4 linked regions of the Schizosaccharomyces pombe genome follow. The gene in region 1 interacts genetically with each later gene. Each region holds a gene or a part of one and is shown on either strand. Other genes may lie near its edges. The genes, in order: mal2, dis1, spc7 and mis19.

Evidence for each region.
Region 2: of mal2 (region 1) and dis1, extra expression of one is lethal in a mutant of the other (dosage lethality), as found in Schizosaccharomyces pombe (one study listed by BioGRID).
Region 3: of mal2 (region 1) and spc7, extra expression of one rescues a mutant of the other (dosage rescue), as found in Schizosaccharomyces pombe (one study listed by BioGRID).
Region 4: mutations in mal2 (region 1) and mis19 impair growth when combined (synthetic growth defect), as found in Schizosaccharomyces pombe (one study listed by BioGRID).

The regions. Positions count from the first base shown.
Region 1 is NC_003424.3:4,182,272-4,189,776, reverse strand, and holds mal2 (kinetochore protein mal2), read right to left. Parts: upstream 4,496-7,505; 5' UTR 4,255-4,495; coding exon 3,343-4,254; 3' UTR 3,266-3,342; coding exon of another isoform or gene 2,552-3,265; 3' UTR 2,361-2,551; downstream 1-2,360. Other genes in the region: pop100 (Rnase P/MRP subunit), read right to left, coding at 134-2,230; wybutosine biosynthesis protein Tyw3, read left to right, coding at 2,552-3,265. UniProt on the Schizosaccharomyces pombe protein: Component of the kinetochore, a multiprotein complex that assembles on centromeric DNA and attaches chromosomes to spindle microtubules, mediating chromosome segregation and sister chromatid segregation during meiosis and mitosis.
Region 2 is NC_003421.2:339,892-348,529, reverse strand, and holds dis1 (TOG/XMAP215 microtubule plus end tracking polymerase Dis1), read right to left. Parts: upstream 5,666-8,638; 5' UTR 5,497-5,665; coding exon 5,446-5,496; exon of another isoform or gene 5,179-5,445; coding exon 2,581-5,178; 3' UTR 2,288-2,580; downstream 1-2,287. Other genes in the region: SPOM_SPCC736.13 (dehydrogenase), read left to right, coding at 6,742-7,761. UniProt on the Schizosaccharomyces pombe protein: Has a role in sister chromatid separation.
Region 3 is NC_003421.2:784,506-794,281, forward strand, and holds spc7 (outer kinetochore KNL network protein, KNL-1 family member, blinkin, Spc7), read right to left. Parts: upstream 6,156-9,776; 5' UTR 6,110-6,155; coding exon 2,015-6,109; 3' UTR 1,784-2,014; downstream 1-1,783. Other genes in the region: mmt1 (mitochondrial iron ion transporter), read right to left, coding at 1-283, 327-739, 959-1,200; P3-type proton ATPase Pma2, read left to right, coding at 8,674-9,776. UniProt on the Schizosaccharomyces pombe protein: Acts as a component of the outer kinetochore KNL1 complex that serves as a docking point for spindle assembly checkpoint components and mediates microtubule-kinetochore interactions.
Region 4 is NC_003423.3:1,321,983-1,325,377, reverse strand, and holds mis19 (protein Mis19), read right to left. Parts: upstream 1,648-3,395; coding exon 1,309-1,647; 3' UTR 1,004-1,308; downstream 1-1,003. Other genes in the region: C-5 sterol desaturase Erg32, read left to right, coding at 1-903; ERMES complex subunit Mmm1, read left to right, coding at 2,278-2,919, 3,083-3,291, 3,336-3,395. UniProt on the Schizosaccharomyces pombe protein: Component of the CENP-A recruiting complex that ensures the integrity of mitotic spindles through maintenance of kinetochore factors mis6/CENP-I and cnp1/CENP-A.

The sequences.
Region 1 (7,505 bases):
TTTCACCAATTTTTAGTTAGTTGCATCCAAGAAGATGCCAACAGATATAAAGGAGTTTTAATTATCAGTCATATATAAAAGTAACACTTTTTTTATACACATGGCAAAATTGGAATGCAGTCCTCAAATCTTTTTAATGAGACTGATTAAACTTCCATTGTGCTAATCGTGGGACGCTACAACCTACGTTGCGAATAATACAGTATCCGGATTTCTCATTTTTAATCGTTTTGGCTAGAACATTGGCTATACCAGAAGGTTTGCCTGCATTCAAATTGAAATTTCCGGTCGTGACGAATCCTATAATAGCCGTCTCGTTTGGACACTTTGGGTAAAGCAAATTTTCAGCAGTGAGATTTTCTTTATAAATGATGGTCTTCCATTTACTAAGTTCATCGTCACTAAGACAATAAATTCGAGCCCGATCTTGCAGGCTACCTCTTTGCACCAACTGTACTTGAACACGTACTAGCTGCAGAGTTTTATCTTCATCTCGTGAAGCCTTAACCATCTCGTTTAGATAAACCCAATCACAACAAAACGGGTTACCTATTTCTGAAAAATTATCTCCGAATTTTTGATAATTTACGCGTTTGGCAGGTGGACGTCTTTTCCAGCTATCTTCATTTCGTTTTTTTCTTTCCTCTTCGCAAAGTTGCCCACTAATCGTATCTGGATAATCAATCGGAAAGAAAGGCATTCTTTTTTCAAACGCAATTTGGTGCAAATTTTCTAATCCGCCAAAACGTATTCCTTTTTGATACATCATCTTCCTCCATACAAACTTGGCATAATCCCAAGGCAAAATAACAGTGAGTCCGTTCCATTCTTTTCTATACGTAATATACACGGGTATAACTTCTTTTTCAGAAGATTTTTTCTCATGAGTATGTCTATTTTTATTCTCAAAAACTGCAAAAGAGGGTATTTCCTGTCTCTCCCAATACCTAAAATGAGTGCTATATTGGTTTGCAGATGCTGGTAAACTGTTTTCAGCAGAATCTAATAAGCTTTTTTCTCCCTTTTCGGATAAATTTTTATCGCAACGAGTATTAACTAATGCTTTCACAGATATCGAGGCGCCCATGGGTAAGCATGCGCTTGAATAATTGGAAATCGACTGCCAAACTTTTCCTGCTTCATCTAATTCAACGTCGTCAAATACTTTGTGGAGCATAATGTTGCTATCGGGTCCGTGAATATCAAAAGATGCTAGATCTAGTCGCCAATCGTGCATAGCAATGCGATCATCCAAAACAGCTATACCAGATAAGTAATTCCATGCTTGTAGAAATGCAGATGGATGTAAACGTATAACTAACTGCACACATTCGGTAGGATTTTTTACAGGGATCTGTTTTTTGTCATCTTCTGTAGGGTTATTCCATTGTAGAAAACAAGGGCATATGAGCTCGTGTATGTCAGACTTCACGAGGTAAGATGTAAATGATCTAGAAGAATTCAGAAATACAGGAGGCAGTCCGTTTGCAAAAGAATTTCCAAACTTTTCTTTGAGAGCTTCGTATGGCCCGCTAATGCAAAACAATGGTTCATAAGACATGTCGAATGCAATTGCATCTTTCCGAAAAGCTGCTCGATGGGTAGGACGATAGGATTTCTCAGTCGGTTTTTCGGGAATGGCATATCCCCAAGCATTTATCATGTGTGCGCGTTTGCATACCCATAAATGAGTGGGAAGCCATACCTTCCGAAGTTGACGACCAGCAAATTTTCCACGTATTAACTTGACGGCAGCCAAGGACGGAATTCGCGAATCATCTGTAGAATTGTCTGTAACCAAGCTTCCCGTACTGTCAATTGCTTTGGTTTCACCTGATTTAGCTAACTTTCTTCGCAAGCGTTTGATGAATCTCTTTAACCGTTGTCTGGAAGGTGCAATGGGCAAAGTAGATGAGGAACTGAGTTGCATTTCATATAAAGCTCTATCCCTTAAACCTTTAGGTATCCTTTTTATATTATGAGAAGCTGCTCTTCTTCGTAAACATCGAGGAAGAGCTTGGAAAGCACGCTGAGCGCTGGATTCTTTTGATCTTTTCATAGCATCTTGTAAAGCCGTTATTTCAAAACTCCTTGATTCAATGAATTTTTTTAAGTCTACAGCACCATTTGAAAGGGCAGGTGATTCAACCTCTATGAATCTAGCATCAGCGAGCTTTGACCTTTTGACGTTTAGTCCCTTTGGTTGCGTTCCTCCAGTTGAACGCTTCATTTCATAAAATTAGATAAAGTGGGGGACGGTTTTTGTAGCAGCCTTAATTAGGAAGTTAATATTATACAGTGGAACTTGTTTGTTGCATGGATTGATAAATTACTCAAGCGCGTACGAAAATACCATAAAAATGATTTTTTCTATTTGATTTCTTTTATTTATTAGGTTTGAGCAAACGAATCTGCAAATATTGTTTTGAATTTAGAAAAAAAAATGTAGGTGCTTGATTTGGCAAGTTGACAACGCAAGTTGAAAAGTTGTAAGAATCCACCAACGAGTTGAATTAAGTCGTTGCAAGGAGTTCCTTGAAGAACAATTTGAATGAATATAAAAGGAATAGATGTATCATTTGATGCTCAAAAAAAAGAAATCTTAGAAGGCTTGAAATCCTCCGTACCTGATGCATCACCCAAAGGACACCCAGATAGCCCAATATTTCCATTGCTAGATGTTATAAACTCCCACCCGGATTGGGTAACAACTAGTTCATGTTCAGGAAGAATTTCAGTCTATGTACAAGGAGCAAATTCCAGAAAAGGAGGTGGATACTGGCTTTTCGTTAGTCATCAGGCACATGAAGAACTACCACCGGTTTTAGAAGATGAAAAAGTGGAATACGGAAAGGTTCCCAGTTCTCCGGTAGAAGGAAATCGGGAAATACAATACGCTTTTGAACCCATGATTCTGCATGTTCAAACGAGAAGTTTAGCGAATGCTCAGCATTTGCAAAGAGTAGCAGCAAGCTGCGGTTTTCGGGAAACAGGAATTCAAGGTAGTGAGCAGAAGTTTATTGTGGCTATTAGAACAAGTTTACGAATGGATATTCCTATAGGATGTCTTACAGCATCCGAAAAGCTTCAGTTTTACATTACTCGTGAATACATGTGCTTCCTTTTCAAGAGAAGCGTTGAGTATTTTACTGAAAATGGAAATCGAATGGCTAGACTGAAAGAGCAACTGGAGAGACAGGTAGAGAAAAGGATGAAACCAAGGCGGAAATTAAGGAATATGGACGATTATTTGGTGCAATCGTAAATAACTAACAAGTATAAAGTTTTTTGTATAAAAAGATAGTCCCTGTCTAATAATAATAAGAGTATGGTAATAAACAATCATAACGAAGCATGACTTTCTGGAGCAGTTAGGTGTGATACAAGTATATTAACCCAACGTTTGTTGTCTAATAAAGATAGTTCAAGTCTGTGATCTCTTTTCCAGTTTTCATCAGAATACTGATATATCCTTGATTTGACCACTCTAGTGGATTCTGAAGAGCAAACAAGGGTAGCTTGAATGACTTTCGGAATTTGAATGACAAGATGTGTACAAGAAAGATTGGCAGATATGTTTGTCCCATCAATTGTCAAAGACTTATTGATTTGTAAAAGTGCGTTTTTACGACAGATATATGCGGTCAATAATTTATCTACTTTCCACAAAAATATTCTAAACCTTTCAGGGTTCTTTCCAGTCAAATACTCGTCAGCCCATTCTTGTATGTTCAGAAAGCTTGGAATCGTATATTTATATAAAGCAAACGAGTCGTGAAATACTCGAAAAATTATATAATAGGGAACATCAAATCTATTTCCACCTTCTAGTTCTTCGTCCATGCCAGAGGCGGAAGATATTGGATTCTCTGAGAGATTCGTAAAGCCTATATTTACTGGATTCAACATGATATCGAACCGGACACCAAGAAGCGGTATAGAAGGAGCAGTCTCAATGGCTCCTGTCTTTTTATTTTTTACGAGAAGGGTCTTTCTAGATAACTCCTCAGGATCATTGGGTTGGAAAAAGGAAATACCAGAAAGTCGATCATAATGCAGTGCAGGTTGATTTAACGGAGTCTCTTTCAGAAATTCATTGTTTACAGATAAATTTTTGGACAACTCGGGCTTCTGAACGAGATCGGACAGTGTCGCATTATCTAAAGACTTTAATTCATCAAGCAATACATCCCTTCTGGCTTCAAGGACGGAAATTTCATCGATGAGTGTCGCATTGCCTTCTTCATCGTCCATGGCAGCAAAAAAAATTCATGGAACTAAAAAAACTGTAGTTTCAACAGTTTCTTAGGGCCTTATTGATAACATGAACCAAGCATAGAAATTCAGTTACGCTTAGACTCGTCCACGTATGTCAAAGCGTCGAAATACACAGCAGCTTTTATAATTTAATCACTGTAGCATTTCAGAGTTTCGAACTGGAATAGTATTTTAGACGAGATTTGTAATTAGATCAAAATTAGAGATTGGTAGGTTTGAAGATGTAATGGATAGGAAAAAATGAAGATTGCAAATCTATTTGCAACGAAACGAAAAATTATGCAATATTTTTAACTGTTTGATAATATGTAAATTAAATATTTTCTTAATGAGTTACAATAACAAAGAAATGTATAGAAAGCAAAGTCGGACAAGTTGTATATAACTATATAAAATTGAAGATAATTAAATCGCCAGTTTAAAAAAAAAAATTAAAATTAAAATCTAGGAAAGAAAACAGAATGGTTATTTACAAGAACAAAGAAATTTAACTTATAAAATATATAGAATTAAATTGACATAATCCAGGAAATGAGAATTATTTTGAAGAAAAAATAATGACATTTAACAAAATGACATTAAAAAAAAAGAAAAATAAATTAGTAAAGAAAAAAAATGAAGGTAGTTTTCCTTCTTATATAAATGATTTTAAAATCATTACATTTTATAACTCACCAATTAGTGCATCCCTATTAACAATTCTTTTATTAAAGCTCTTCACGTACAATCCCTTAAAACATTCATATTGCATTAAGAAAGCAACAAAATTGTATATTTAATATTAGATTATGAGCGCGCAAGTGCTATACATTGTAGCAGTTTTAAGGATCGTTGAATGTACATGGGGTTTTGATTTGACAAAAGCCAAGTTTGTGTTAAATGAATGCAAAGGGAGAATGTATTATTCAATGTTAAATAATATAATGTGAACTTTTAAGTGGTATTTGTTTACAATGAGCTAGAACAAACATGATAAATTACATTCTTTAATTACAGTATATATAGTTTAAATTAATGAAGCAAATGTCTACGGCCATACCTAGGCGAAAACACCAGTTCCCGTCCGATCACTGCAGTTAAGCGTCTGAGGGCCTCGTTAGTACTATGGTTGGAGACAACATGGGAATCCGGGGTGCTGTAGGCTTTTTGCTTTTTTGTAGAAAACTAAATTTTTTTTAGTTCATTTATTTTCTTTTACATTCTTTTTTATAAAATCAGTTTGGCATCTATAAAACAGGCAATTGTTATATAGTATATTTCATAGTGTCGAGTTGATTTTTGCTGTCATGTCTTTGATACAATTGAGAAAATGAAAATTTAATAGAAAAGTCTTTGTAATACAAAGAAAATCAATTCATCCAGACTGTAAAACTGGGTTCAAGCGACATTGGGCTTACAGTTTGTAAAACACTAAAAATCGGCGATATTCAATAAAAAATCTACAATTTCCAAAATAGCGGTGAGTTAAAGTGATTACTAAAAAGAAAATAAAACCCAATGAAATAAATTTGAATGAAGTAAGGTAGATTTTTTTTTTATTATTATTTATTTTATTTATTTATTTTTCTCTTCTATAGTAGGGATTGCTTAGATGAGCTTTAGTTCTGGGCATACAAGGCATACGAGTGTAAACACAAATTACCACTGCTGACTGAAAAACGGAAAAGTCCATAAACAACGATCAAAAGTCAAACAGAAACAAAAATTATTGATGTTCGTCTTTCGACTCTCATCACTGCTATTTTTCCTACTATTCGACTTTCGGTTTATAAACACTGTATATACTCGTTTACTACCAACCCTATTATTCCTCTGCTACAATATTGCTACTCATATACCATGATCTAACGCGTGTCACTATGCACCTTTATCGTATTTTAGCGCATTGAATTAGCGCTTGTTTTTTTGGGTCACACTTATCAATGCATCGGGGAGTCCCCCACTCCCCCCACTTACGATAGGCCAGGGTTTCACTATCATAGTCCATGCCACGTTCCAATCACCTTACAGTGAAACCGCCCGATCACAAGCTTAGTATTAGGCAATATTCAGCGATTCATTAAATGGGTTTAAAGAGAAGTAACGAGGCTGTATTAGGATGAAAATTCCGCCATATTTATGCCATTCATCTTTCCCATTCGAAGTATCATATTCAAAGGCGAATTCCTTCTCTCCTAACTAGATTTTTTCTGTAAATTTACGACTGAAAGCTCTTCCCTTTACAGTCCTCCTTCATTGTATCCTCCTTACCCTTGCCAATCCTTACAGCGAGTTCGGCTGCACTAGGCCCCCCTACTGCACCTTATCATATATGCACCATCACCACCGTGTGATGATTGGATATCTCGCACCTTCAATTCGCTCTATGCAGATAAGGACCGAGGGTGATGAAAAAGCAACGATATAGAGACGAGATAAGGACAGGTTGACCAGATAACGATTTTATATAAAGAAGGGTTTTGCCTACAAGCCTCTGTTTACAGAACTCACTTAAGCAGTTTGAAAACTTGCTAAAGTATTATTTTTAATTTTTTATTTTATTTTATGAAACTGGTTGCAGTCTGCATCGTCTGAATATAACGATCCATTAATATTTCTTTGGACGAGTTATTGCTGACTTTTCATACCAATTATATTTAAAACAGGAAAAGAAAGCACTTGAAGTCTTTTACAATCTTGAGACTTGCTATTATAATTTTTCATATTTACTTTTCTTGTTGTTTTACATAAACAGGATAAAAAAAGTTGTCAAATTTATTGTTATAATAATTTTATAAACTTTACTTTGGTTTTGTAAGCACTTTAGATTTTAATACATCTTTAATAGTGCGTGCCTTTTTCCATCCTAATTTCTATCTATTCATTATCACATCTATTTGTTTGTGTTTTTTTTTCTGATTGCGAAAAGGTCAATTTGATTTTTTTTCATTCTTAGTAATTTGTGAGTGAACAAGTTTTTCCCCTATTGGACAATCATTGTTATATCGAAATTTTTTTTTTTCGTTAAAGGAACAGATTATTAATATTTTCCGTTTCTTCTTCTTTTTAATTATATTGTTGAGGTTTCTTAATTGAAAGCTCAGAATTTATTGCCTCGTGATTGGAATTGTTTGGTTCTTTCCTTGCAAATAAAAAAATTTTTTTTCTTATCTCTTCAATCCGCTGGGTTTATCTAATACGGTATATTTACCCCGTCGCTAAAATCAAGACCGAAATTTTATCTGACT
Region 2 (8,638 bases), on another chromosome or scaffold:
TACAAAGCTAAGGTGGGAAAATGATATCATCACTTGCCGTAGTGAACAAGAGTAGGTAAACATCATTTGGTCAGCTTGCTGGCCACAGTTGCCATAGATATGTCCATTCCTTCTATCACGTAAACATGACGTTCCCATTCGCGATAATATAAAACCGAATTTCTTTCTGGATAGCGATGTTGACCAATGCGTTTGGCGCACCGCGTTAACTGGAGCTGAAGGGGGAGGGGAGGGGGGCAGCGAGTGTTGAAGGGCCGATGGGGTAAACAAACGCGTCGTCGTTGTGAAAGAAAGAAAGAGAGTGAAAAGAATGAATAGGCCGGGGAGTGGTAGGATGTGGTAAAGAGAGAAGAGGGAGAAGTGACGATGGGTGTGTTGAAGAAGGATAGAGCAGAGGAAGGCAAAGTGGGTAAAAAGGAAATAGAGTAGAGAAATGAATAGAGATAGAGGGGATAAAACGGAGGAGGATAGGACAGAGGAGAATGGGATAGGATAGGATAGTGTAGAGGAGGATGGAGTAGCTTAGGATAGAATAGTGTAGTGTAAAGTAGAGTAGAGTAGAGTAGAGAAGAGAAAGAAAGGTAAGAGAGAGAGAGAGAGAGACAAGAGAAAAAACAAAAGATAAATGGACCGATAAAGATAAATATAGAAAGAAAGATAATATAAATGGATAAATATGGATGAAACAAAAATAAAAAAAAAGGTTAAAACAAAAGAGAATAGAATAGAGAAAAGGTAAAAGTTAGAGGCAACAAGGGTAGGTAACAAGGAACGAGGTGACAAGAAATGGAAAAGTGAGAGAGAGAAAAGAAGTAGCGAAAGAGAGTGAGTGATATTGTGAAGAAGTGAGTTGTGAGTGAAACGGGATATGAGTGTAGTAAGAATGAAGAAAAGAAAGATGAAATGAGTTCAGAAGAAATTAGATGAATTCAGAAGAAATGATTGTAAACGAGTTTAAGAAAATGCCGACGCTGACTATGAATGAGTATTAGATACTTGCAACAATTTTATCAGTTTATTCGGAAGATGAAGAGGATCGAGTGAATACGGAAATATCTATCTTTGGCAATACGGGAATGGAGCACCAAATGGAACACGGGAGTGTAACGGGCATGGCATGGCATAGCATAGCATAACATTGCATGGCACATGGCATGGCGATGTACTGATAATAGCTAGAAATGCTAGAGTAGCGACGAGAAGAGAGAAAAAAGAGCGACAAAAGGAAATAAAATAAAACGAAAGAAAATAAATAAACAAAAGAATACTCGAAATAAAATAAAACGAAATAAAATAAAATTAAACGAAATAAACAAAAGAATACCTCTATTATTTCCCTACTATTTTCCTACTAGTTCCCTTCTACTTTCACTTCCTTTTTCATGGCTCTTCTTCTCTCTCCTGCTCCTCCGACCGTCCGTACTTCTCTCCCTCTCTCAAATCTCTCTTCCCGACATATGGGAAATCTTCTTTTCCCTCCTCGCTGCCTTACTGTACTAGACTCCTGCTCTGCCGCCGCTGCCTTGCTTCCCTCCTTTCCCTACGGTGCGCGCGCACGATAACCAAACGCCGCAAGAAGCGATCGTCTATTGGATAAAGTTAGTGTCTCATATAGCCGAGGTATGGGAAAGGTGCGCAAAGGCAGTGCGCAGCAGGACAGACAGTTAAGAGGGTGCCAAGCAGTGCAGTAGAGTGCAATGTAGTACAGTAAGCTACCACGTAAATGTAGCAGAATGCAAGGCATTTCAGTAGGTGCAATGTAATGCACTATTTTACAATGTAATGCATTATTTTACAACGTAATACACTAACTAACAATGTAATACAGTACGTTCGCTTTCGCAAAGTAATACACCGTTTTGTTATCACCTCGTAGTTTTTATTTGCCCATCTTGCAAGGAACGAATTGCTGCGCTGCTTTAAAATGCATAGTGCAATACCTTATAACGTGCTGTATAACCTTATGCATCGTTTATCTATCAGTGGAAAAGCTCTTTCGTACTTTGCATTTAACGTGGAAACCTACAAACTCGTTCCTACTTATTCCATACTACGCCAAACTACACTGTACCCCCGTTGTTCGCTAATCCTAGGATCAAGCCTAAAGCTAGTGGTATTTGTTTGGCAATGCGCACAGGGGACGCGCTTTGTTGAATTGGCAAATGGAGCGCAGAAAAAAAGTTGCAGTTGTCTTTTTCCCGTGAATTCTTTTTCTTCTTGTGATTTGTCTTTTTTCTTTTCTTCTCTTCTCGTGAATTCTTCTTTTTCTTTTCTTTTCTTCTTTTTCTACATTTTCCTATTCATCTATCCAAAACTCTGATTTCTTTCTTGACCGTTTCAATTAGCATTACAAAATGATCGACTTTAATTAGAAATACAAATTGAGTGATTTCAACTCTACCTAATCGACTTTAACAAACACTCCAACAAAAAACTCTACCAGCATTTCCACGCTTGTGCATTCACCAAACTGACGACCTCTCTTACAACACGTAAAAACGACGCTCGATTTGCCTTTCTTCGTCTTTGCTAAATCCAGCATGCCCTAATCAGTCATACTTTCGGATGCATCGCCGGGCACTACGCCTTCTTCATCCTTTGGATTTGCTCCCACAAATGACTTGACAAATCATGACTCTCCCTCCAGTTGTCTCGTGCCTCTGGTGAAAACATAAACGACGGCCTCGAAAATTGCGTCGGCTTTTGTAACATTGATCCTGCCAGCGAACGCCGTGTCCCATACGAACTTGGCTTTGTCGACACAGAATGAATACCACTCGATACCATCCCAGCGTTACCACTTTCGTCCATTGCTGTCGTTGCTGTCGCCCTTGTCGTCACCCTCCCTATCGCTCCACTCTCGGGAACTTTTAAATCAATATCCATCGCTTCTTCATTCGTCTCATGCTGCTTCTCCAACTCTAACAATACTTGCTGCAATCGTGTACTCAATCGATCCTTCTCATTCCTTAAACTCGTAATCTCCACCTCCTTTTGCGATATCGTAGACTCTTTCTCATACACCTGTTCTTTCATTTCTGCATTCTGAATTTGCAAATCATTGATCTCTCGAAACAACCGTTCTCGCTCCAATGCATCTTCCGCTTCCTGAACTTGTCGAATGGCTTTTTCTTCTCTCAACAAATCCAGCTCCACTTTTTCCGACATTGTAATCGTAACCAAATTGTCCTGCTTTTCTCCTCCACTTTTCATAGACTGTTGCTGTGGGTATTCTTTGAGCGCCGACGCTGCTTTCATCGTTGATCCCGGTAACTTCTTCGTGGAAAGTCGACTAGTCTCTAACTTTTTCGAAATCGAAGGGGATGACGGAAACGATTGTTTTGACGACGCCGCATTCGAAACTCCCTTTGAAGAGGATGATGGCGCTTTCAATGTAGAACTTGCAAATCTATTCACCAACGATTGACTACGCAAAGACGTCGTCGATGGTTTCGTAGGCGAAGATCGTGTAGATAGAGATTCTTCTGTCAAACTCGCCTGTGATGGATTCGAGGATGGTAATGGTGAAGGTGCTTGTGGTGTAACAGCCAGTTTAACCGGTGATGTCTTTAAAGGAGAGGCCACTCGTGGCAGCCTGGGACGTGAGGGTTGATTCGGATGCGCATTCACCGTAATGTCCTTGGAAAGTTCTAATATTTTTGGTAACTTTTTAGGATCCAATCCCACAATATACTTGGACAACACTGGCTGACTAAAAATTTGCACAAGTGTTGCCAATACATTTGTGGTAGCCATTCGGACTGGCTCAAACGTATCGTTGATCAATGTCACACATAGGCTACATAGCGTTTCAAGCGATGCTCGAGGCGGACAAACATCCGTCAATTGTAGGCAACGATTCAGCCATCGAAGTGTCTCAGTTTTTACTTGTGGATTTTTATGCTTCAAAAATTCTAACGTCTCATCCATTATATCATTCAACCCACAGCTCTCAAAAATAGCATTGGCCGCATCCAGCAAAGAGTGCACCAAACTCGATTTTCTCTCTTTAAACCTATCAAATAAAGAAGGCAATACAATACCAGTATACGGAAGAAAGCCCTTCCTTAGCGCCTTGGCAATATGCGTCAATAATAAAGCCGCTACACCCACTACCACCACGTTTGCATCTTTTAGAGACTTTGCAATCACTCGAAGTAACTCACTATAGTCACCCTCTTGATAAACAGGATTGGAACACACCGGTACCATGCTTTCCAACGCTTCCTTTCGATCTTTCCACTTGGGAGAAGATAATGCGGTATGGAATTCTGGGGTTAGTTTGGAAAGAACATCAACGGGCGTACTTCCGACAATGTTTTTGGCAGGAGATACAATGGAACGGGAAGGAGATGCTGAAAAATCAGAAGGTTGTGAGACCTTTCGGTTAGGAGTACTGAAACTAGAAGTAGAGCGTTGCAGAGTGTTTCCCTGCGAAGATGACTTTGAGGACAAATGTGGTTTGGGTTTGGCATTCGATGAAAAAGAAGGAAGAACCACCTCTTGGGTGTTGAGGGAATTTGAAATATGTCCTCCCGTGGTCGTGCGAGATGTAACATTTTGAAAAGAGGCCTCAAGATCGGAGACCTGTATTTGCTTTAGTTGAGGAAACACATGAGTCTTGAATGCATTACCAACCCAAGCGTACAAGGTTATGGATAGATTCGAAGCTTCTTGCCTGATATTCTTATCTGATTGGGCGAACAAAGTAGGAATCAGTTTATAGAATGGAATAGGAGAAAGTGCAGGGATTCCAAAATTCTCCAATAAACTATTTAATTCTTTTATAGAAGCAACTGCCTGCTTGGGATGCTTAACGCGAGCCGCCGAAAATAACCCTTCTAATACATAGTCCAGCGCATCGGATTTAGCTAAAATGAGTAAAGCCTGGTGAGAAGCATCACGGATAGATTGTCTAGGAGATGGTAAACATTTTTCGAGTAGAGGAGCAACAACGAACGATTTGGCAGAATTAACTCCTTTTTGCCTAGACTTGTCTAAAAAGCATCGCAGAGATTTTACGGCATGCTCTTGTGTTGGTACGTTACTATCACACAGCCCTTGTTTCCATAATGCTGGGTCATGAATCCAAGGCTGGAAACAAACGTCTGAATCATCCAATGCTCGGTTCAATGCATGCAACAAAGACTCATATGCTTCAAATCGAACTTTCCAAGACTAAATAAATCAGTTAGAAACCTAAAAACTTAAAATAACCCACTACAGAAGTGAGATCCATCAATACTAGGGAGAACAGGTATGAAAAGAGTAGTGACGGAAACACAAAGCAATGAGTAAAACTAATTGAAATCGTAAAATACAATGGAATTGATCAACAGTGCCCTTAATGCCGTTGCAACGATATTTCCATTTGTTTGCTTTTCATTCCAGTTACATTTTTCTGGACAGCAAGCTTCTATCTCCATTAATTTGTAAAAAGCTTACCTTATCAAAAATTTGACTGAGAATGCGGCTATTAAAATCGTCCAACTCCATTTACATAAACAAATATAAATTAACGACTCGTATGTTTACAACCAGCAGAGCATGAATAGTTATGTAAAAGAATGAATTTTATAGACAAATAGAAAAATGAAAACGAATGAAACGGACGGGATTCTAAACAGTAATGAGTATGGCTCTGAAATTGGAGTTGTACATGTGTAAATAGAGACGACTAACTTTACGGACGACAATGTTTCACTCACACAGCCAGCACCGTAGAGTTAGCACAATTCGTTAGACCATCGTATTGTTGAATATGAACGAGCGCAAGATTACACTATTAGAGCAAAATGTAAATAAAGCAGAGAAAAAGAGGAAACCATCAATAATTTTAAGTTTTTAGAGTAATTTAATTCTTTAAATAAATAACTTTATCTTAAACCGTACCAAAATGATGCTAACAGAAGATGAGCACCCAAATGGAATGTTCACCGATATATTAAGCCTTATGCAAGTTGCTTTTTGAAACCGATTAATGTGCTATTGGGTGGCTCTGTAAGATGCTTGTGATCTAGTATAAGTGAAAAAATGAATTTCTAAGACTCTTACTGAATAAAACATGACGTTTAACTCGTTTAAAGAAGGGAATCCTATAGATTGCAGATTTTTAAGTTTTCGTTTCTATTCATACCTAAGTCTAATTTTATCTTTCATTTGCCCAATCTGAATTCGAGTTCTTCAATTACAATAAGTTCAAGTTATACATTTTTAAAAGGATTCCAATATTCTGTCGAGCACCCAATTCATACATTCAATTCTAAACAATCCATATTTCGTTTTGTAAGCCAAGTAGTCAAAAGTAGCTAGTCGATGTAATACCATGCTTGATCAAATTTTCGGTCCGCAAAGAAGCCGTGTTACGCCTTGAGTTTCTTGGATTTTGAAGAAATTTGTCAGCGGTCATTGTATAAATTACGAATTGCTTCCTCTTCCGCTATCGTCACTCTTTGCAACTTATCATCTGCAGCCACCCTTACCCATATTCAACATATTCGACGAGAACGATATTTAAGTGTTTTCTAGAACTTAAGAACGCTTATTAAAAGAAAATTGTTGATTTATTCTTGAATCTGTTCCAAACTTGATCGATTGATTTCATAATCGCTACAGTTTCGAGTTAAAGACATTGGTAATAAGTTTGTTCTCTGGCCACTTCTTTGCAATAAAATCCTCCCCGCTCATTGTTTATAAAGTTCTTTTTTTTTAATTGATATTAGCTTCAAAAATTTCTTTACGATGTCCTACAGTTTTCAGGGATTGCTCAACCGCGTGAATGAGAGCGCAATTGTAAATACTCTCAAAGAGTACACCGGTCTCAATACACCCAAATGGACCTTTAACGATATTCCCGATCTTACGGGTAAAGTCGCTCTTGTCACAGGATCTTCAGGTGGCATTGGTTATGTAACTGCCCTCGAGTTGGCTAGAAAAGGCGCAAAGGTCTATCTGGCTGGTAGGAACGAGGAAAAGTATCAAAAAGTTATGAAACAGATCCACGATGAAGTTAGACATTCCAAGATCCGTTTTCTTCGTTTGGATTTGTTAGACTTCGAAAGCGTGTACCAAGCAGCTGAGTCTTTCATTGCCAAAGAAGAGAAATTACACATATTGGTCAATAATGCTGGTATCATGAACCCTCCCTTTGAATTGACTAAAGATGGTTATGAACTTCAGATTCAAACCAACTACCTTTCACATTACTTGTTCACTGAGCTCTTGCTCCCCACACTCCGTCGTACTGCAGAAGAATGTCGACCTGGCGATGTTAGAATAGTTCACGTCGCAAGCATTGCATATTTGCAGGCCCCTTATTCTGGTATCTACTTCCCTGACCTAAATCTCCCGCATGTACTTTTGGGTACTTTTGCTCGTTATGGACAATCTAAGTATGCCCAGATCCTTTATTCCATTGCTTTAGCCAAACGTTTAGAAAAATATGGAATATATTCCGTTAGTCTACACCCAGGTGTTATCCGTACCGAGCTGACTCGTTACTCACCTACCTTTGCTCTCAAATTGTTAGAGAAATCAGTCTTCCAGTATTTACTTTTGGATCCAATCAGAGGCGCCATGACTTCCTTATATGCTGCAACCAGTCCCGAGATTTCCAAAGAGCACTTGAACGGCGCTTACTTCACTGCAATTGCTCAGCGTGGTATTCTTCATCGCGCTCATGATGATGCCTTTGTTGAGGAGCTTTATCGCTATACTCATAAGATATTTGAAGATCTCAAGTATTTAGCTCCTTCTCCATAATTCTTTTGCTCGTAATCTGAACAATGATGAACGCTTCTTGAACCACTTAAACTAGTAAAGTGTTTCTACCTCCTCATATATTTTTAGTTGTCTTATGTTGGAATCCCTTTATGATTACTTTATATTAGTAATAATATTATACAATTTCGTATTGCTTAAGAACCACAAACAGCATTTCGACTTTGTCGCTACATCGCTTCTTCCCTGGTAACAGTAGGTTTGATCTCTTACTTTTCTGTCTGTCAAAGCATTGGTATTGTGTATTAGCCATTTTATCCACACTTTAGTCGACTGTATTTTAATTTACAAATCAAATATTTACTTTATAATGTTGATGGTAAATATGGAAACGACTAGTCGACATTTGACCATTCACTATTTACACTCAGAGCAATTTTTTGTTTTTTTAATCTTAAAAAAGAATCTTTCTTTTGAGTATCTCTCTGTGCCACGGGGCATTTTTTGAATCTGCCGAACAAATTTGTAAGAAATGTGAATTTACAAGGAATACTTATTAAAAAGTAAAACTCTTTTAAAATAGAAATTTTTTTATTTACTCAGTAATTGATGGTTTTCATATTCATTTGTTTTATCAAAGTACTTCGTATTCGTTATTACCCGTAATCAAATTACTCTCTCACGATTATCTGCACCTTGCCTTCTTCCAGAAATCCAACACTAAGGAGGCTACTAGTAAACCCTATAATAAAGTGTTTTATTAAACATTCAAACATTATTTTGAAAGTTGACGGGAAATAGCTAACTTTTGAAGAAAGTGAAAAGCTATAATTGGTGATTTTTGGGCTAAACATATTTTTTTTTCTTTTTTTTGGGGCTTGGTCTTCACTTGACTTACCGCTATTCTTTCAAGAGTATA
Region 3 (9,776 bases), on another chromosome or scaffold:
AGCTTTTCTCCCTTCAATAAAGCATCAGTTACTGCGATACGTAACTCTTCGGAAGGTGCTCGGTCCAAAAGCTGCAAGAAGGCCTTTTTAGAAGAGTTGAAGCCGGCACTAAAAACGACAATACTTACTAAACAACCAAAAAACGGATCTAGCCATGGAGCATTAAGAAAGTAAGTGCCGGATAAAGCAAGCAGTGAAACCATTCCCGTCAATGCATCTGCTCTATGATGCCAGGCATTGGCTAGTAAGATATTTGAATCTGTTTTTTGAGCCACCGTTCTCGCTAAATATACTATTAGAATCCAATAATAGGTGAAATTACTTACTTTTTCGGAAGAGCCATTCTTTAAGAACAACACTACCAAATATAAGGCCAAGTGCCATAAAGGGGTGTTCAAACAATAGTTGAGAAGGATTATGAGAATGACCAATGTGCGTGTGTTCTGAACCAGCGTATGGGAATAGTATAGTATACAATCTCGATAACGATGAATGAGCAATGCCTACAGATACAGCCACCAATAAACCAGATACGGTGAATGTACCTATGGTTTCCCATTTGCCAAAACCGGCAGGGTACTTTTGTGTGGGCTTCTTGCTACATATTTTCAAGGTAGCCAATGTTACCAAGTCCGAAAGTGTATCTCCTAATTGATGAGCAGCATCGGCGACAAGAATGCTAGATTGTAGAGCAACTCCGCCGATACCTTTGGCGGCTGCTAAGCCTATATTGCTGTATCTATAAAAAGTGTTAATAGTCAAGAATATCTATAATAAAGGGAAGAAATTGTCAAAAGATCTGTCGTAGAACGAAAGCATAAGAGAGTACCAGTTTAAAAATGGTCTCATTAAATATCATGAGTTATTTAGCTAACTTTAGGGCTACAGTTCCTTTGTTGCCGCTATGCTCCGAATTGATAAGAAAAGATGACTTTCTTTTTTTCTTTTCCATACTTACAATCCTAACCACGCAAGTTTCAGCTCTGGAGATTTCCCTTCTTTTTTCAAAGCTTTAACAAGCTCTAACATTTCTTTGTCCGATCCATGGTCATGGGTATGAGTGTGAGAGCCAACACTATGCATTCTTACAGCATTCCGAATTTCAAAGCCAGATTTCTCGTGCAATCTGCTGCACAATGTCGGTAGAAAACGCGGCATCGCTCGACATGAGCGCGCTGACGAATTGAACGTTTTCAGCATAGTGAGTTTTGTACTGTTAATTCAAGAAAAGGGATATCTATATATAAAACAAAACTTCTAAAGAAGTAAATATGTAGAAAACCTGGAAATTAGGGCTCAACCGGCTGTCTGTGAACTTTCGATTGCGGATGCAATCTATTTTTAAGTGTATTAATATTTTTATCAGAAATTGCAGACGAGGTTCAGGAACTTTGACTTACTTAATTAAACTGTGTTCAAAAATAAAAAATGGATAACTTAATAATCCGAGCGAAGCCTAAAAATCTAAAAAACCTCCTATTTCAATTCTGCAAAATTTGAGCTTGCAAACTCATAATTTTGTAAGCAGCGTCTGACTTTCAATTATAAAAATCTAAATATCCGTCCAATTCTCTTAAATTAGTTAAGATCTTTGTTTTGTTTAGGATCGGTCTCTTCTATCGATTGTGTATATATGTATCTAGGAGAACGTAAGATGTCGATCCCGTACTTATCAGATCAATGTGAAACTTTACTACACCAGATTTGCACATCCGAGAATCTTTTAATTATGGATAGTTTATTTATATATTAACTAAACACTTTATTTTGTAGCGCATTACGGGTTTAACAAAAAGATTTATAATTTCATTATCAGTCAAGATCTACCATTATTATTTCACCAATATTAAATAGCATAAAATATATACATTTTCTTTAGTAACATGTGAATTAACGAAAACGAATGAACTAGTATACAACAAGGATAAATGATATTTCCAAGCGTTAAGCACAAAATGAATATTGGGAAAGGAAGTCGCTTCGGCGCAGCATAGCTAATCATTCCCATTAATATCTAGCTGTATTTGTTCCAAACAGTAAGACAAGCAGACGAAAGGGCATAAGTTGATGTACAATGCACCACTTCCGAAAGAGTATTCAAAACCTCACTAACATAAGAGTCTCCTTCACTTTCCGCATACATCTGTTTCACAGCGACTGATGTAGAAGCATAAAACTTTCCTACTTCAGTAGTTTGGTAGATAGTATCAATTGGGAGACCGAAAACAACCTTTACCTTAGATGATACCGAACGCAGGTATAGCTCAACATTTATGATAATAGACTTATCATCATTTTCAACTGACAAAAAGGGCCAATGGTACCATAATCGCTGGAAATCTTGGACAAGATAAACAATTTGTTCCCAACAAATTGAAACATCGTTAAGATACTTCTTCAGAAGACGTAAGTTCCTAGAAAATACCTTGGAATGCCATTTAGAAAACGACGATGCAACATGCTCGAGCACATTTGAGCTGCAAGCATTACTTTCGTTAGGGAACTTACAGGCAATATCAACGTTAACTTGGAAATTTTGCCTCAAAATCTCAACCGTAACCTCGGCTGAATAAGGAGAAAGAGCAGTGTTATTTGTAGCTAATTTAATTCCGCCCGCGGTCAAAGAAACTATGGTCCAGCCAAGTTCATTTTTAAGATTTAACAACTGCTCCTCGTATCGCTTAATTTCGTCAAATTCAAAATCTTGGTTTTTCGCATAAAAATCTTGTTCAGCGTTGGTACGTAATTCCAAATCAGAGCAAGAGTTTGTCACTTGTTCTATCTTTATTGCCAACTCCTTTCTTCTTTCTTCTTTTTCACTCAGAAGCCGACGTCTCCTCTCAACCTCAACCTTGAGTTTCTCTAACTTTTCTTGCGCCTGCGCTAGAAGAGTTGAGTCATACTGATTTGCAAATTCCTTCTGCTTCTTTAATGTCTGTACTGTAGTAATACTACCATTGTATCTCTCTTGAATTTCCTGCGCATACGGATGAATAACATTCGCGACATCCATTAAATGGGTCAAGCTTCTTTGCATCCCAGTTAAATTTAAATTTAATTCATGTTTGATTCCTTGCATCAAACCCTCACGCCATTCGTACCAATCACCTTTTGCTTGAAGTCTAGCAAAAGTTTTCATCATTAAAAATTGTGAATCCATTAAAACCCTCATATCACTGGATGCTTTCCTATACTCATAGAATAGTAACGGGTTCTCTTTCAAAGTTTCCTCTTCAATTTTAGTAACAAAATCCTTCCCTTCGGCAATATAATCCTGTAATTGCTGACAACTAAATTTGTATAACTCTAACAAAGGGAATTGTATGTAAAAAGATTCCAAAAGTTCTTGGATACTGCATTTCTTATTTTCTTCAGCATTTGGCAATAGGGTTTCTCGTCTTTTAGCAATAGTAAGATTATCCAAAAATTCAATTCCGGTCATTTTAAGAAAATCTGATAGGCTTATCGGCTCGACGTTTGGTAGAGTTGGCATCGTATCAAATTCTGGCTCATTACCAACAGGTATTTCTTCATTTGGACCAGAGTCTTGATTCAAAATGTTCGTGTTAATAGTCGAAGCGCCCAACGATGTATCAACATTGCTCACACCTTTTGATAATTTGACGGGTGACTTCTCATGTTCATTCATGCCCACGGAAGTTGTATTACCTGCATTTGACGAACCAACTTGAACAAGTTCATTCCGGTTGGGTTCCTGAGATTCCAATCGCTCCAAACTAGTTGAATCGGCGTAATCTGCAGTTGTTATACGCTCTTTTTCATCCTCATTCGAAGGTTGTTGAGGAAGCTTAACAGAAGAAGTCGTATTAGTTGGAACGTGCTTAATTTCGTTAGTCTGTTGAATTGTTAGTCGCTCTGTTTTACTCAATCCAGAATCAACATCTGCATTAGACACTTGTTCGCCTTTGTCATCAGTGGGTTGCCTTGAAACTTCTTCAGGAAGACTTGAAAGCGGCTTTTCTGTGGTGAATGGCTTCTCTGCGGTAAGTGGAGTAGCTCCTAGACGATAATTTTCGGATCGCTCAACCGATTTATAGAGACCAGAATTTACTTTTTTTTCGAAAAAGTTAACCGGTAGAAGTTCTCTGTCATTCAAAGTTGAAATTGATTTTCGAGCATTACGGATTGTTGCAAGACGATTGCGACGCAAGGTACTTTGATCAAAACTTGAAGTGCTATATCTTAAGCGTCTTTTCCGAGTACCAAGCTTATCAGTAGGAGTCGCTACCACATGTCTACTTGGAGAAGAAGAGTTAGGATCTTTCGAAAATTTTAGATTATTGTTCCCATTTGGTGACCGTTCATGGTTGGTAAAGGAGGTAGTATTGAAATTTTCTGACTTATCACTATATGAGGGTATTTCTTCTCTCTCGGCATTTTCCTTGTCTGCTGAAGGTAACTCAACATTGTTTCCACGGATTTGAAAAGCCACTGTTTCGTCCATAGCAGCTTCTTCCACCTCAAGATGAGATGTAGAATTCTCACAAGGAAAAACTGTTGAGGTTAATTCCATTGGTTGCTCTTCGGAAAGTGCTTCTTTAGAAGGGGATAATATATTGAAAGGTCTAGTAATGTCCATAAAGTCCTCACTGTCGGGAATGGGCTTTGAAGAATTGGCAGTCTTGTTATTATCCTTTCTCGGTTTTGAAGAAGAGGATATATTTGAGGTAAATTGATTTAAATCATCTTCATTCAAATGGGTGGGTGCATTTGTAGAGCTAATGGGTTGTGTCAAGTCCATTATTTGCTCTTCCATGGATCGTGACGATGGACGAATGGGGGAAAGGAGAGTTAAATGTGAGTTTTCGATATTAAAGGCGGAGGTGGTATCCATTTCTTCTTCTCCATTAGTTAAATCGTTCGGAGAATGATTAGTTAAGTGAGGATTAGCATTAATTGGTCGGGTAAGGTTCATAGGCGCTTCTTCTAAGTTTTGTAAATCTAAGCCATTGGAAAAATGAGACACTGGAGATAAATTAATGTTATTAGAGGTAATATCCATGTCAACAATAGCTTCTTGGGAAGTTAAAGGGCGAGCGATGGGGGAAAAGTGTTGCGGAATTTCAATAGGTCGAGTTAGCATCATATCTTCTTCTTCTTCTTTATTTTCCGACTGATCGTGATTTTCGTTATTTTTGGAGAAATCCGAAATTTCAATACTAGTTGGACTAGATGATTTGTTAGGGGATGAAAGTTGAGTTTGGTTTGAAGGGTCATGAGAAGCTTTTAAACTATAAACAGTACCTTGCTCGCTAGAGCTAAGACCTTTAATTGATTCGGAATGTGATAAAAACGAATCTGCTTCTTGGAATTGGATAGTCAAATCCATGTTAGTTTCCTCTCTATCATTAACCTGCTCTCTCGTGGCATCGTGAACATCAAGTGCCTTTTCTGCTTCAGGTAAGGCTTTTGTTGGATTCTGGATACTTAAATCATCATTCTCCGGATACAGAGAAGGAGGCGGATGGCCAGCATTCAATGCCTCAGAGACCATATCTGATTCGGTTGACCGAATAGGGGACGCAATGTCCATATCACTACCGTCTGAAATAATCGAGGCACTATGACTATGGGGAGATGATTGTGTTTCGTTTCTCGAAAAACTTGTCGTTGTTGGACCTTTAGGGGAATGGTTTTTAGCATCAGATGCAAAAGTTCGCTCAGGTGTGCTGTGATTAGATGTCGACTTTTCCGAGTCACTCTGGTGATCTTTAGGATACCAACGTACACGTGCATGACTAGCAAAGGAAACTCTTCTGTTCAAACTTTTTCTAGACGTCTCACGCGACAATTGCTGTAGGTCTTCCATTTGAAGTCTCTTTGACGCAGCCATAACATTACTAGAGATTCCAATGACCGTGTTATTTATTTGTGTGTGTATATCATTAAAGTCTTCATCTCCTGTGAAAGCGGGATCTACGGAAAAGGATGAATAACTCTTTAGAATGCCTTTTGCTGGATTTGTGTGTTCTTTAAGTTCTTGAAGCGCACCAGGTCCTCCAAGCGAGTGTGGACGCTTCCTACTTTTGTTTCTTCCTATAACATTATCGGTCGTCGCTATACTATTGCGACGAGGCGATGTTGGCATCGTCAAGTTAAACAAAGCACGTCGACACACGAACTTTGTTGTTTTTAGATTAAGACGAACATAAGAAATTGTAATGATAGTTCGTTAAATTTATGGCGGTGAGTTTCTTTTTGCGGCCTAGAACGCCTTTCGTTGTATTATTTAAGGAGTCTGTAAGCCTTTTTAGGATACGGTAGACTACGATGATGCTTTCTGTAATCATTCCTGTTAGCTAATCTGAATAAATAATGAATAAAGATCCTATTTGTAAAAGTTCCAATGAACAATATGACTGTTGTTCATTCTTATCATTAACAAATTGTATAAAGTAAAGGTAAATTGGGGGTACTTTTGTTCAACTGGGTCTATTTGTAATATTGGGTTTTCTGTAAACAATAAGGTAATGAGCATCACAAGCATATGCGCACTGTGATGGAGGAATACAAACTTCAAAAAGGTATAGATATCTAAGATTCACTTGAATGTTTTGTCAAATGAGCCGCACTGTTCTTTTGGCATAATTTAATGGATTAACTTGAAAGCAATGTGCGGTTGTAAGAAGTATAAGTAAATTGTAGCGAGGTTGTTATAAATTATTATTTCGCAAATTGTATATTATAATAATACTCGTGAATATTCCTTTAAAGGAGTGTGTTTATTTAATATCATTCCAGCGGCTTATAATCAATAATCGAGAAAAAAACTGTTTATTGTTAGTATTTCTATAATTTGATGGATATTGCCATGAACTTACAACCACATGTAATTCTATGTTCTACTTTCCATTGAGGTTCTCGTAACCTGTTCCATCATTGTTTACTATTCAAAAGTGGTTATAAAAGGTTACCGGCTAAGCAAATATAAGCTAGCTCATTCTGAACTATTTCCTGTTCATTTCCATGGTTATACTTAGCCATAGTGAAATTGACCAGACATTAATTCGTGTACTTTTCCTTTTACGATGATATATTGATCACAAATAGAAATTATAAATCCTTTTAAGTCAGATTACGATTGCGTTGCTAAGACCTGAAATTGATATATTATGTACTATAATCCATATGTGTTATTAACAACACTAATGCTTTCAAATCACAGTAAAGCTTAGTAACATAACTAGCATTTGTACAACATTTAAATGAGTAAAAAAAAAACAAGTATGGCTGAGCTCGCTTGTCTTAATATTTTTTATTAGAATGATAAATCATATACCACGATTAGGATTTCTTTGAAGAATGGAAATACAAAAGGACGTAAAATGTTTATATTCGGCACAGGAAGGATAGCGTTGTATAAACGAATGATAATTGTTCAGTATTTCAAACAAGTAAGGCTTTTGTCATCAATACTAACATTCTTTTTTTTTTTTTAAATCCGGGAAATTGACAATTCTTACAATTGGATATTTGTAAATCCCGTGTATCCCGTAGTATGGTATGATATTCTATTCGTTGCATTTGGTATAAGCCTTCAAATACGAGCAGACTTGGTTAGCCCAATATCATTCTCCCATTTGGATTTAGTCAATGTTACGATATAAATGGTCACAAATCTCCGGTATCGTAATGTTATCCAGTTTCAAACGACATAACATGTTTCAATTTAATAATGACTTATTAATAGTTGCATAACTACTGTATTTCACTAGAATCCTTTACTTAGCATAATGTGTGTGACATGATAAAAAGGGCGTCAGACATCTTCTCTGAGGAAGATTTGATAAAAATAGAAAAAGTATTGTCTATACAGCAGTCCAGGCTTGTCCTTTAACAATTGCAAAAATATAGATTATTCCACAATTCATTTAGCATACTAACTTTACTTAAAAGGGGCCAAACTAATGCTTCAAATTGCAAGGATTAGCCAAAATTGTGCCAAAAAAAAAAGAAAAAAACACACAATAAGACAAGTATTTCTTCGTTACAACACTAAATAATGAAATCCCAAGAATCACGAAGTTTTCTATGAGTGCTCCATCATAAATATTCTCTAAACAAGTGGACTTAATGTATCCAAACATAAACAAATACAGAAATCACACCCATTAAATATTTTATGTAACGATCCGCTTAATAATAAAATTGTAAATTTATAAAAATAAAAAAATAAAACCACGCAGTATTCAATAATATTTATCTCCGGGTACAATGAAGCTCCTAGTAAATATAAAAGACAATTGCAAATTCAGGTAATCGACCGGTAATTTTTACACAATAATGAAAGCATTGTTACGAGACTGACCTATAAGATGGTATTATTACTAAATGAGTCTGCAACCACGCCTATATTAGGTCAAAAAGCAAACCAAGGGAGAAATGAAGTCAATAATACGCATAGGAGACGAATATAAGCTGTGAGCTAACCAAACCGCAATAAGAGGCTTACAATTGTTCCCCGCATGATTTTTTGAAGCTTTTACTATAAAAAGGAGTCCTTCGTAACGGCTGGCGACTTACTAATTGTCATCCAATTCAAACAAATTTTGTCAGTCTTTTATACACAACAATAGAGCCAATTCCAGTTCTTTTACCTTTTCATCCTCACCAATCTTTTGCGCATAGTCGTTTTAATAACCTTTGACTAATATGCAACGAAATAACGGCGAAGGGCGACCTGAGGGTATGCATAGAATTAGCCGCTTTTTACACGGCAATCCTTTCAAGAATAATGCTTCTCCTCAAGATGATTCAACCACAAGGACAGAAGTTTATGAGGAAGGGGGAGTGGAAGACTCCGCCGTCGATTATGATAACGCTTCAGGAAACGCAGCTCCACGTTTAACTGCCGCACCTAACACTCATGCTCAGCAAGCGAATTTGCAAAGTGGTAACACATCAATTACCCATGAAACTCAAAGTACCTCCCGAGGACAGGAGGCTACTACATCTCCATCGCTATCTGCTTCCCATGAAAAGCCTGCCCGTCCTCAAACCGGCGAAGGCAGTGATAATGAAGATGAAGACGAAGATATTGATGCCCTAATTGAAGACTTGTATTCTCAAGATCAAGAAGAAGAACAAGTAGAAGAGGAGGAATCTCCTGGACCTGCTGGAGCTGCTAAAGTAGTCCCCGAAGAGCTCCTTGAGACAGATCCCAAATACGGTCTCACAGAATCTGAAGTCGAAGAGAGGAAAAAGAAATACGGTCTTAATCAAATGAAAGAAGAAAAGACAAATAATATTAAAAAATTCCTTTCATTTTTTGTGGGTCCAATTCAATTTGTAATGGAGCTAGCTGCTGCATTAGCAGCAGGTCTCCGTGATTGGGTTGATTTCGGTGTGATCTGCGCTCTTCTGTTGTTGAATGCAACGGTCGGCTTTGTTCAAGAATATCAAGCAGGATCCATTGTTGATGAACTAAAGAAAACAATGGCGTTAAAGGCAAGCGTTCTTCGCGACGGTAGAGTGAAAGAAATTGAGGCCAGCGAAATTGTTCCAGGTGATATTTTGCATCTTGATGAAGGAACTATATGCCCAGCTGATGGTCGCCTTATTACAAAGGATTGTTTTCTCCAAGTGGATCAATCCGCAATCACCGGTGAATCTTTGGCAGTGGATAAACACCAAAATGATACCATGTACTCATCTTCAACGGTGAAACGTGGAGAAGCTTTTATGGTAGTAACAGCAACAGCCGATTCAACTTTCGTAGGACGAGCAGCTTCTTTAGTCGGGGCAGCTGGTCAAAG
Region 4 (3,395 bases), on another chromosome or scaffold:
TTTGCTAATACTGCTGTAAATTCTACCACCTTGGGTCTTGCTGAGAAAGTAAACTTTGCTATCACGTCGGGATTACTTGATCGTAACAATGTGTGGCGTCAATTCACCAGCCTGTTCCTCATTACCTGGATTATGGGCACATTGTCTTACTTTTTGTCTGCCAGTTTTGCATATTATGTGTACTTTGATCGAGAGGAGGCCAGAAGGCACCCTAAATTTTTAAAAAATCAGGAGCATCTGGAATTGATGGTTGCTTTAAAAAATCTACCCGGTATGGCTATTCTGACAGCTCCTTGGTTTCTTGCTGAAATTCGTGGATATGGTTATGTTTATGATAAGCTTGATGAATATGGTTACTTTTATCTTTTCTTTTCCATCGCGCTTTTCCTTCTATTTTCTGATTTTTTGATTTACTGGATTCACCGCGCTTTGCATCATCGTTGGCTTTACGCTCCTTTGCATAAGCTTCATCACAAATGGATTGTTCCAACTCCTTACTCTTCTCACGCTTTTCATTATCTTGATGGATACAGTCAATCCCTTCCATATCATATGTTTCCCTTTTTCTTTCCCTTAAATAAGTATGTTTACTTATTGCTTTTTGGATCAGTAAATTATTGGACCGTACTCATCCACGACGGCAAATACTTTTCTAACAACGCTGTCGTAAATGGTGCTGCTCATCACGCTGCTCACCATATGTACTTTAATTACAATTATGGTCAGTTTTTCACCTTGTTTGATCGTCTTTGCAGTTCATATCGTCAACCAGACCAAGAATTATTTGACGCCGAACTTCGCAATGAGAAATTGCAAGAGCAGCGCATTCGCTTTATGGAGACAGTTCAATACACCGTTGAGGGTAAAGATGATCGCACTTATGCCAGCAAGAAGGATAACTAATTCACTTTAAGATTTATTATTTGATACACTCCCCTCTCTTTTGTTTTATGTTCTAGCTTGTCTTTTGAGAGAGAAGCTGAAATAAAACCGCTTTTGATTTGATTTATATAGAATTATTATTTTTGGTATTTTTTCACCGTGTTGTTAAAGCTACTCATATCGATTTTTTTTGCTAAAATGGAAAATATTGCTGAATTATGACTTTAATTCATGTAAACGTGAATTTGGGTTGAAAAGAAGTTATGAACGCTTACAGTTTTGTTTTTGATAGAAAATTAACGCTTTAAAAATATGCGTAACATGTAGTGATTGAGTCTTTTCTGTAGTAAGTTGTGTATAAAGTTCAGTAAAGTTCACATTGGGTAAGTTACTAATGCATCAAAATTATCGTATAAAAGGTACTAATCACATTTTTACTGCTCTAACATTTCTTCTTAGAAATACTCGATTATGTAAATCAAGTTTTTTACCTTGTGCCCTGATTAAGCTTTTTGACCGAAGAGAATGAAGATTTATTGGATGATTATGGTTGTCTTTCACCCCAAATTCGCGAAATCGCAGTACAAGTAGCTCTGTTTCGTACACTCTTGGTTTCTGATTTTCCGTTGGTATAAATCTCCGTCTTTCCAGTCGTTTCAATATGGCGTCAAATTGCTGCAAATTGTCCGGAATTTTTGTATTATGAAACACATTATCAAATGCAATCTCAATTGCTCTTGCTTTTTCTAACGGCATTAAATCCATTTGCTTAACATTTTAATAAAATATCACAGACGGAGAAACTTTCGAAAATTAGGTAGTCCGTTAATATACGAAAGAAAGAATAACTAATTATTGTCGTTTATTAAAGATACTTTAACTAATACTCCTTTTGGAAGAGTAAAACGCGTACTAGTGTATTTCCTACCCTTGAGTATGAGCATGCCATACACATGTGAAGAGTACAAGAAAGTAATATTCTCTTATAATTTCATAATGTAATATATATTATCATAAAGGATTTATATATCTAAAGTCAATAATTTGATATAATTAGTTGCTTTTCTCAAACAAATCATGTTATTTAATGAATTTACTAATAATCTTTTTTAATTGAAGTCCATTAGTTTAATTAGTTGATTTCGGTTTTGGACTCAAACAAATAGGCTCAATGAACTCTGTAATTGCAAATGCTACGTAGACCACCTACAAGAAAGAAAAAAAAAAAATATATATATATATTACAGAAAGCCTCAACTTACTAAGCAGTTAACTCTTGTATTTGAGACGTTTAATTTATACTCTTCTTGTAGAGCGAAGACTAATTTTTCCGTTTACGGTTTTGATTCTCGGGATTAGCGAATTCGAGGTATTTTAGTATATTTATGAACAAAAATGATACACCTGCCGCAGGGGAGTTTTACACAAGGACTAATAGTTGGACAATTGTTGACACTGGCCATTATTTATGTGTTTTTGCGGTTCTTTTTATTTTGTAGTCCAATTCCAAAGTCTGTAGCAAACTCTCCAAAACAAACGGGGAATGAAACACCTGACGAGACTCCTTCAACTCCTTTAAGTAATAACAAAAAAAGGTACAAAAAGCCTCTTACTATCCTTGAACCTCATATACTCAATCTGCTTTACGATGTTAATGAACATGAGCCGGAATCATTGGATTGGTTTAATGTACTAATAGCACAAGCTCTCATACAGTTTCGCTATGATGCATGTTCCAACGATGTTGCCCTGAGAAAACTTGAAACTGTTCTCAACAAAGGTGCTCAAGACAAGTCTATGGTTGATCATATTTACGTGCGAGATTTATCGCTTGGAGACGGATTTCCGGTTTTCAGTCATTGTCGGGTTCTACCTCATCAGCATAATTCCTCACAGCTTCGAGCGGAGATGCTTGTTTCTCTGACTGACAATATTAATTGCACCGTTGACACAAAGCTTTTACTTAATTTTCCAAAGCCTGCGTTTGCAACCTTACCATTGTCCATTACAGTTAGGATTTGTAAATTTGTCGGAAAGGTAAGTCTATTTACAACCTTAATAGTATATAGTCTCTACGATTCTTTACACCCCTCCCCCGGGGGTTTGAAACATCAAGTGTTAAATCGTATCACAGTGGTATTCTACGATAGACTATTTTTTTTCGTCTTTTAATAACGGTCTTTTCTAACATTTGTCCTAGATTATGATTTATTTTTCCCCAAGCAATGGTGCAGGCCAGCCTGCATATATGAACTTGTCATTTGACCCCAATTTCGTGATCTCGCTACAAGTAAGTTCTCTTGTGGGAGCTAGGTCAAAGCTTCAAGACATTCCTAAAATTACACAATTGATCGAATCAAGGATTCGACAATGGTTTACTAATCGTTGTGTTTCTCCTCAGTTTCAACAGTAAGTGAGAGTATGAATTGATTCATACTAACTAATTCCCACAGGATCGCAATTCCCAACCTATGGCCAACCTCTGCAAAAGAAGGACATGCGAGGTCCCATGC